2 linked regions of the Bombyx mori genome follow. The protein of the gene in region 1 binds, or shares a complex with, the protein of each later gene. Links are inferred from orthologs where the notes say so. Each region holds a gene or a part of one and is shown in the gene's direction. Other genes may lie near its edges.

Region 1 (3,624 bases):
TGCCATGTTTATCTATTATGTGACCTAGGTATTCAATCTGATTCTGTAAGAAATTACATTTCTTTAAGTTAACTTTTAGGCCAGCGTTTTGTAAGCGATCGAGTACAATAGATAAAGTTTGTAAATGTTCTGAAAGATCTTTCCCTGCTATAGCTATGTCGTCAAAATATACAGCTACATTGGTGATATCACCTAGCAGTTGATCCAGAAAATGTTGAAAAATTGAAGGAGCAGTCGATATTCCAAAAGGCATTCTATTGTATTGGAAATACCCTTTATGGGTTGACAACGTCAAGTACTTTTTCGAATCTGGTGCTATTTCAAATTGTAAGTATGCGTCTTTAAGGTCTATTTTTGAAAATAATTTACCGTTTGCGAGATTTTGGCGTAGTTGATCGAAAATCGGAACTGGGTGTAGGTGTTTAATAAGTACTGGATTAAGTGTAGTTCTGTAGTCTCCACATATCCTAACTTCCCCTGTAGATTTCAGAATGTTAACTGTGGGTGTAGCCCATTCAATAGGTGTAATATTAGGATCTACCTTTTCCACTATCCCTTCTGAGATCAGACGATCTAACTCCCTTTCTATATTCTTTTTCATGCTGAATTTTATAGGCCGTGCAGGAAGGTGGATCGGTTCAGCTTCTGGTTTGACATGTATGTTTACGTAATAATTGTTAACTTTTCCTAGTTTTCCATCAAAGAGTTGTACATGTTTATCCAATATTTGTTTAAGAGTCATCGGTGTTGATGTTTTGATGGAGTATACTGGTTTCGGAAATTCCATTTCAAAAACTTCACTCCAATGTAAACCAAATAACATTGGTTTGGCATTTTTCATTACGACCACAGGTAGAAGTTTTTGCAGTCCGTCGACTTCGACTGTTACTTTTGTAATTCCCTTTGTTTTTAAGTTTGTGTTACCGTAGGCCTTAAGTTTCGGGGCGGGTTGTAAAGATGGTGATCCTAATTTTTTCCATAATGTCGTGTTTATTATTGAATACGCAGAGCCGGGGTCCCAATCCATAGTGCAAGGTATGTCATTGATGCGTACATCGATTTGTTTGCATTCTCTCTTACGTGTACCCAAGACGCTGCAGATAACTTCATCATCGCTTTCTTCCTTGTTATTACTGATAGATGATGATGATGATGTTGAGGATTTATGAGGTCTTGTTATTTTTTTTAATTGATTTTCGGCTCCCTTCTGAATAGCTGATGTATGCCCGTCCAGACTTAATGCAACAACTCTCAAAGTGTGCTTTCGTGTTACATTCTTTACACATATGGTCCTTGGCTGAGCACTGTGATAGGCTGTGCCGTTCTTTCTTTCCACAGCGTAAACAATGCATTGGATTTAATTTTCGTGTTGTATTTTGATGTAATGGTACGGTTTTGGTTTTGCTCCTATTTATTTTTTTAATACTTGTTCTTGGTGTGTCTTGTTCTGCCTGTTCTCTTGATTGAGAGATTGTAAAAATTTGTTGGAAGGTTACTTCTCGTGGTATTCCGTCTACCATTTGAACTAAATCAGGCCATTTTTGTTTCAAGTCGGTTTCTAAATCTGGATGATTCAATCCAGTGGCAAAGCGGTCACGTAATTGTCGTTCCAGGAAGTCATTAGTGTAGCCACAATCCCGACTAAGACCTTTTAATCTGTTTGCATAGTGTTCCATCGTTTCATTTTGTTCTCTAGTGCAATTCCAAAATTCTGTTAAGGCTCTATACCTCGTCGTTTTTATGCGATAGAGGTCTAATAATTTGTTACAAATTTCGCTGTATGTAGCTATATCGAAATCAGGCGTTAAAGCTACTTTTAATTCGTGGAATATCTCTGGTGTTAGTAAATTCAGAAGCAAATCTTTCTGTAAGTCGCTGTTATCGATATCAAGAATTTTGCATTTGTTTTCGAAAAAATCAATGTAATCGTCAATTCTGAATGTATCTGGATTGTATTTATCCATATTGAAATGTTTGATTATACTTATCTTGTTATCCGTATCATGTTTTGTAAAAGAGTCGTTCGTCACGCTCTTGGCTGTTGTATTGCAAACTGCTGGTACCAACAATTTCAAGATTTGTAAAATCTGCTCTTGCTGGTTTTGTTGTGCATGTAAAAATAATGCGAATTGTTCATCGTTCATCTTAATTTCTTTTAACTCGTCGCCAATATAATAAAACAATGTTTTCAAGACATAGCATAAAAATATAATAATGATAGGTAGCAAAAATGACAATGTGTTTGAAGTATATTTCAAATAATGGAATATGGAAAAGAAGGTTACAACAGTTAAATTTCACCAACCCCTAGGCTTTCACTGATAGATATAGGCATACCTTTAAGTTTGCAATAACTGGTCCTGAGCTATATGCAACCTGCAAATTCCAAATTTTAACACTTCATTTGAAAAGTTTAACAAATTATAATTTGTTGTTAAATTGAACAGATGGCACTCCAAGTACACCACGAGCAGCTCCCGGTCCATCTCGGACACCCCGTACACCTCGTGAAGCTCCAGGAACATCACCTGCTCGAGCTCTTGCATCCAGTCCCATAGGTAAATTGAAATTTTTATATTGTGAAAACAGTGCTTTTCCTACTGTAACTTTGAATTTGTAATGCTACAATCATAAATGCCTTTTTTTTTAATGCATTGTGATATGAGGTTATTTATAACTATAAATCTAGTTTTATTATATTAATAATTTCCAGGCACAGATATAGACATGAGCTCTCCTCTTAATTACGGCACTCCAAGTTCTCTAAGCACTCCTCGCTCGCTCATGAGAGGCATCATGACCCCAGCACGACAGAGGGCTGACCTCCGAGGTCACCATATAGCTCCCAATGTACCGGCACCCACACCTACACGGAGAGTAAGTGTACTTAAAAATTAAAAACAAAAATTTGTCATAATATGCTGCAACAGCCTTACTAACAAACTACTTCACAGATAAAAAATGATGAAGTGGGGTTAGCACAATATTAAAATGTTGAAATGTAATTGTCTATGACCACAAAAACTATTTATGTTTGAAATGTCAGAATAAAATGAAAATAACAAATATTAAATTTAATTAAACCACATAGTTGATTTTGATTAAATTTTGAATTTAAGCAATAAAAAGAAAAAAAAATTAAAACTACACAATATAATCCAAAATATTAAGTGAAACCATTTGTATCCGAACACTCCCTAAATCAATAATCCTTATAGTACACTAGCTGTTAGCCATCTCTTTGCTTGCGTATTTAAGATTCAGTGCCAATTAATTTTTCTAGTGCCGTGTAACTTTTTCTAAAAACAACAAAAAGTTTCTCATTGTAATGAGATGTTTATTGGGATAAACCAACCTAAAACGATTACAAAATAAATAATACAAATTTGTTTCCGTGTTTCAACACGAACGAAGAACAAACAATTCTTGTTCTTCTTTGTCGTTTCCTCATTACTGAGGGTCGTGACCACCTTGGTCCAGTTTTTGCACCAGCTTCCTCCAATGATGCCTGCATTCGGCCTGCTTAATGGCGCCCGGGACGCTGGTGTTTGTGGCCTCCTTGATAATGTCCGTCATTACAAACAATTGCACTAACATTTATAATGCTATTCTGGATACCAATAT
Region 2 (4,223 bases), on another chromosome or scaffold:
TTTAAAGTAGATTTTTTTTATTTTAGTGCCACCTAGTTCAATCATCTGAACTACGCCAGCTTTAGTGAAAACAAACCATCTATGTCAGTTATTTAAATGTAGCATAGATGACGCTTAAATAAGCAAATTTAAAGAAAACATGTAAATTAAAACTTAATTACCTACTTCCAGTATCGCCATTCATACAGCTATTTAAAACACTGGATTTATGAAACTTATTTCATAAATTCGATCTACTAAGTCGTATTATTTAAACGTTATTCCCGCCAATTTTCCTTTTTTTTAAGGGATTTTATGAACTGGTAACTAAGACTTTTAGGTCATTTTTCGTATTTTCGTATTTTAATTTATATTCATAGTTTTATGAAAAATGATAATATGGAGTGAAATGAAATGAAAATAATTAATTTGAGACATTAATCAACTGGGATGAAATATAATCTCAGTAAAATGGTGGTCACTTACCGCCAAAAAATCTGCATCACTATGTCAGTATGTCAAAGCATAGAACACTTACTATTTGAGTTTCAAAGTCAAACAATTAAGCTCTATAAACAAGAGTAAATATCAGTGGTCTCGAACCTACCGATTTTTCGGTATATCTACCGATATGGGCACTGATCTATTGAAATACCGAAATAAAATGATTTTTCTACGATTTCAGAGTATACATGGAAATTCTCCCGATTTTTCTACCGATTTGACACTTTTAGACATTATTGATCCAAAACATGTTAAAATTGGCAAGACTACTTCGATACTACTTAAAAGTAGGCTCTTTCCCAATATTGTTCAGAGCAATGATTTCCAGGAAATTGATAGAGTAGCGCATTTTAAGAAATTGTGAATAAATCAAAACATTTCCTAATGATGTAGAACTATTTTGGGAAGAAGTAACTTTATTAAAACGTGGCGATGAAACTCAAATGTTTCCTTTGTTGTCTAATTTCATCCTTAATATTTTATCACTTTCCTATTCATCCGCTAACGTTGAACGCATATTTATTCTTTTGAAAACAAAACAGCGAAATAGGCTGTCTACTGAGTCAATCACTGGTCTATTACATGCAAAACGACTCTATAATACAGCTAATTGCTATGATTTTGAAATTAATTCAACGATGACTGCAGCTATGGCCAAACAATATTGGTATAAAAAATATTTATTCTTAAATATGATTGTTATAAATTAGTATGTAAGTTTTTTTTTCAATAAATAAACGCATTTGATTGAATATTGTATATTTTTTGACTAATACCGATTTTGGGTACAAAATAGTACAAATGTACCGATTTTAGCTGGCAAGTCTACTAATCTCGCTCTATGACGTTTGAGATCAGTGATAAAGATAAGGCGACTTTTTGGCGGGAACGCGAGGAGTGAAGTTGTGTGTTTTGTTTTATTTTGTCTATTTAGTGTTTCTTGGGTTTATATGTGTAATAATGGTGGTTTATTAACTGTTTAATATCTGTGAAAGTGCAAAAATGTGGGAAAATGAAACAAAGCCGCTGGACGTCACTTCTCGGGATCCTCCAAAAGTCCAACGAAAAAATCTCAGTAAATGACCACCATTTTACTGAGATTATAGTTCATCCCATATCATCTCATCTCATTTCATTTGATTTCATCCCAGTTAATTAATGTCTCAAATTAATTATCTTCATTTCATTTCATCATTTTTCATAAAAATAAGAGTATAAATTAAAATAAGACATGACTTAAAAGTCTTAGTTACCAGGTCATAATATAAAATACCTAAAAAAATATGATAAATAAAAACATGATAAAGGTAGGTAATATTCCTAAATTTTTAACCAAAATGAATTAAATTAAATATATGTATATTATTAAATGATTATAAATTATTAAAACCATAAAAATAATAATGGAACCTTATGAAATCGAGTTTATTGGTGAGAATCGGATAATCAGTATAACACCAAACTTTACCCATGATAAAATATACTTGATATGCGGTGAATTTGGTCCGTTTCGTGCTGGTTTACCTGTGAACGTACCACTCTGGCTGGCTATCATGCTAAAGCAGAAACAAAAGTGCCATGTTATCCCTCCTGACTGGATGGACGTGGAAGTTTTGGAGAATATTAAAGAAGAGGAAAAGCGTTCCAGGTTTGTCAATATATTTAATAAATTTGGTTTTTTACAAAACACACCAGTTTCAAAACTTTGATCTTTCTAGGTGGTCCAGTTTATTCCAGATACAATTTAATATTTTGTTTATACAACTTCCATGTCTTAATTTTAAATCAAAAAGTATATTTTATTATTATGGTTTATGTTATAAATACCTTCTAGAGCCATCCATTCTAACACTGATACTAAACAATAACTATTAGTGGTCTACCTGTTAATAAATCTCAAATTGTAACATGATTAAAAAACTTGAAGTTCATTGGTCAATAAATATATCTTTGCCAGTACTCATGAAAGGGTGTGTAAATATAAAATCTATCATTAAATGGCGTTTGAGAATTATCAGCAAGATAAAGCAAGTAGTTGTAGTAGTCAAAGTTTTCACATTAAATCTTCCTAAAATTATCAAACTACCAGATTCTTCACAAAGATGCCAAATGAACACTATATGGTGGAAGCCAAACTGATACTTGGTTCAGCTGCCGAAGATGTTCCCAATGCACCAGAAATAAAGACTATTATCAAAGACATCTGGGATATAAGAATGTCTAAGTTACGAACATCAATGGATGCATTGATGAAAACTGGAGGTTTGTAATGATTCCTTTAAAATACTTTACTTTTAAGTACTTTTAACTTACATTTTAAAGATTTTTGAATTGAGAGGATTTTATATTTTATTTTATTGTAACTGATGATATTGTAAACCTGCATGGATCAGAAAGCCTATAATGATGATATGTGGTCTTCGGTAACAACTTAACACCAGAATGGTATGCTTAAATTAAGATAAGAAAAAAATATAGAATGTGACTTACTCAGTCATAAGTTAAATTCAGGACATTTATAATTGACATTTTCAGGTGGCTATGGCAGATTAGATCATTTAACAATGATGGAAATAAACTCAGTGAAACCTCTTCTACCTGCTGCTATGGACAACCTCTTAAGGATGCAAATGGTAAGAACATGTGTGACAAATTGTAATATACTCTCCTTTAGACACATCCTTCTGTATTTTCATCTCCACTTTGTCCTTTTTACGAATATCTCTGAATGTATGTACCATCCTTCGGACCATCTTATACGTGACACATTTATGCATTCTACTCTGAAGGATCCTTGGATTTCTGTTCTAGACTTCACTCTCGTGTCCTAGTAGAAGGGCAAATCACATTGTTGTGATGATGATGTGTGTTACCAAAACTAAAACTGTGAGTGTGCAGTGAGTTCAGCTAACCTAAGGTTTAGTAACTACGGTAATTTGGAGTTTGTAAACCTGGTCTTATCAATATCATTGTTAAACTTAAATTCGGTATTGAAGATTTTTTTATTTGTTTTATAGAGTAAATTACAGTAAGCTGTCTTTAGACTTTCAACTGTAGTTTTGACAAAAATAATTTGATAGGCAGTACACGCACAATGTCCATATCAGTGAATCTACACTGGATCTAGTAGATCTGAAGACACTCTTCTTCAGTCTTCTTGTTGTCATTTGGTTGTCCGTTAGATGCTTAGCAAGGTTATTTGGGTGGGCTTTAAAATTGAAGATCTGAGTGCAATTATTCTTATATGTACTTGCAGTACAGTTTTGTAACAAATAATCAACTTTTTGTTTTACAGAAAACGAAAAAGACAGCACCATCGCTCAATTTAAATAGTTCAACCTTCAGTCAATCAGGGAGCTCTCAAAATACATAGTTTTAAGTGTAGTTAAGTGTAGTTTAAGTTTAGTAAGTTCTTAATACTTTTTAATGATTTTGTAACAAAGTGGTTGGTAACAATCAAAAAGTGGTAATAACATTAAAAACACTTATTGTAACCTTGTTTTTATTCTTTTTAGATATTTAAAATTGCATGCATTTAGAGTTGATCTTATTATATTAAACATTTGATAACCTGTTGTTTTAGACCGAAACCTCAAATCTCAACAGTTTTTATTTTTCACTGCCTAATCTTCGGTAGCCTACGGGGCTGTTCAACTACGCGCGGACCATTAGGTGGGCTCATGGGCACAACCTGGAAAAATATGCTAACACCAGCCCTAACAAAAGCAGTGCTTCGCAGA

The links.
Region 2: DNA replication licensing factor MCM4 (region 1) and probable DNA replication complex GINS protein PSF2 share a complex: the UniProt entries of both Homo sapiens proteins name them as parts of the CMG helicase complex. The link is inferred for Bombyx mori from reciprocal best matches to the Homo sapiens genes MCM4 and GINS2.

What each region holds. Positions count from the first base shown.
Region 1 is NC_085125.1:2,555,119-2,558,742, forward strand, and holds part of DNA replication licensing factor MCM4, read left to right. Parts: intron 1-2,447; coding exon 2,448-2,558; intron 2,559-2,713; coding exon 2,714-2,877; intron 2,878-3,624. UniProt on the Homo sapiens protein: Acts as a component of the MCM2-7 complex (MCM complex) which is the replicative helicase essential for 'once per cell cycle' DNA replication initiation and elongation in eukaryotic cells.
Region 2 is NC_085116.1:1,524,606-1,528,828, forward strand, and holds probable DNA replication complex GINS protein PSF2, read left to right. Parts: upstream 1-1,353; 5' UTR 1,354-1,886; coding exon 1,887-2,131; intron 2,132-2,572; coding exon 2,573-2,745; intron 2,746-3,018; coding exon 3,019-3,314; 3' UTR 3,315-3,778; coding exon of another isoform or gene 3,779-3,856; 3' UTR 3,857-3,977; downstream 3,978-4,223. UniProt on the Homo sapiens protein: Required for correct functioning of the GINS complex, a complex that plays an essential role in the initiation of DNA replication, and progression of DNA replication forks.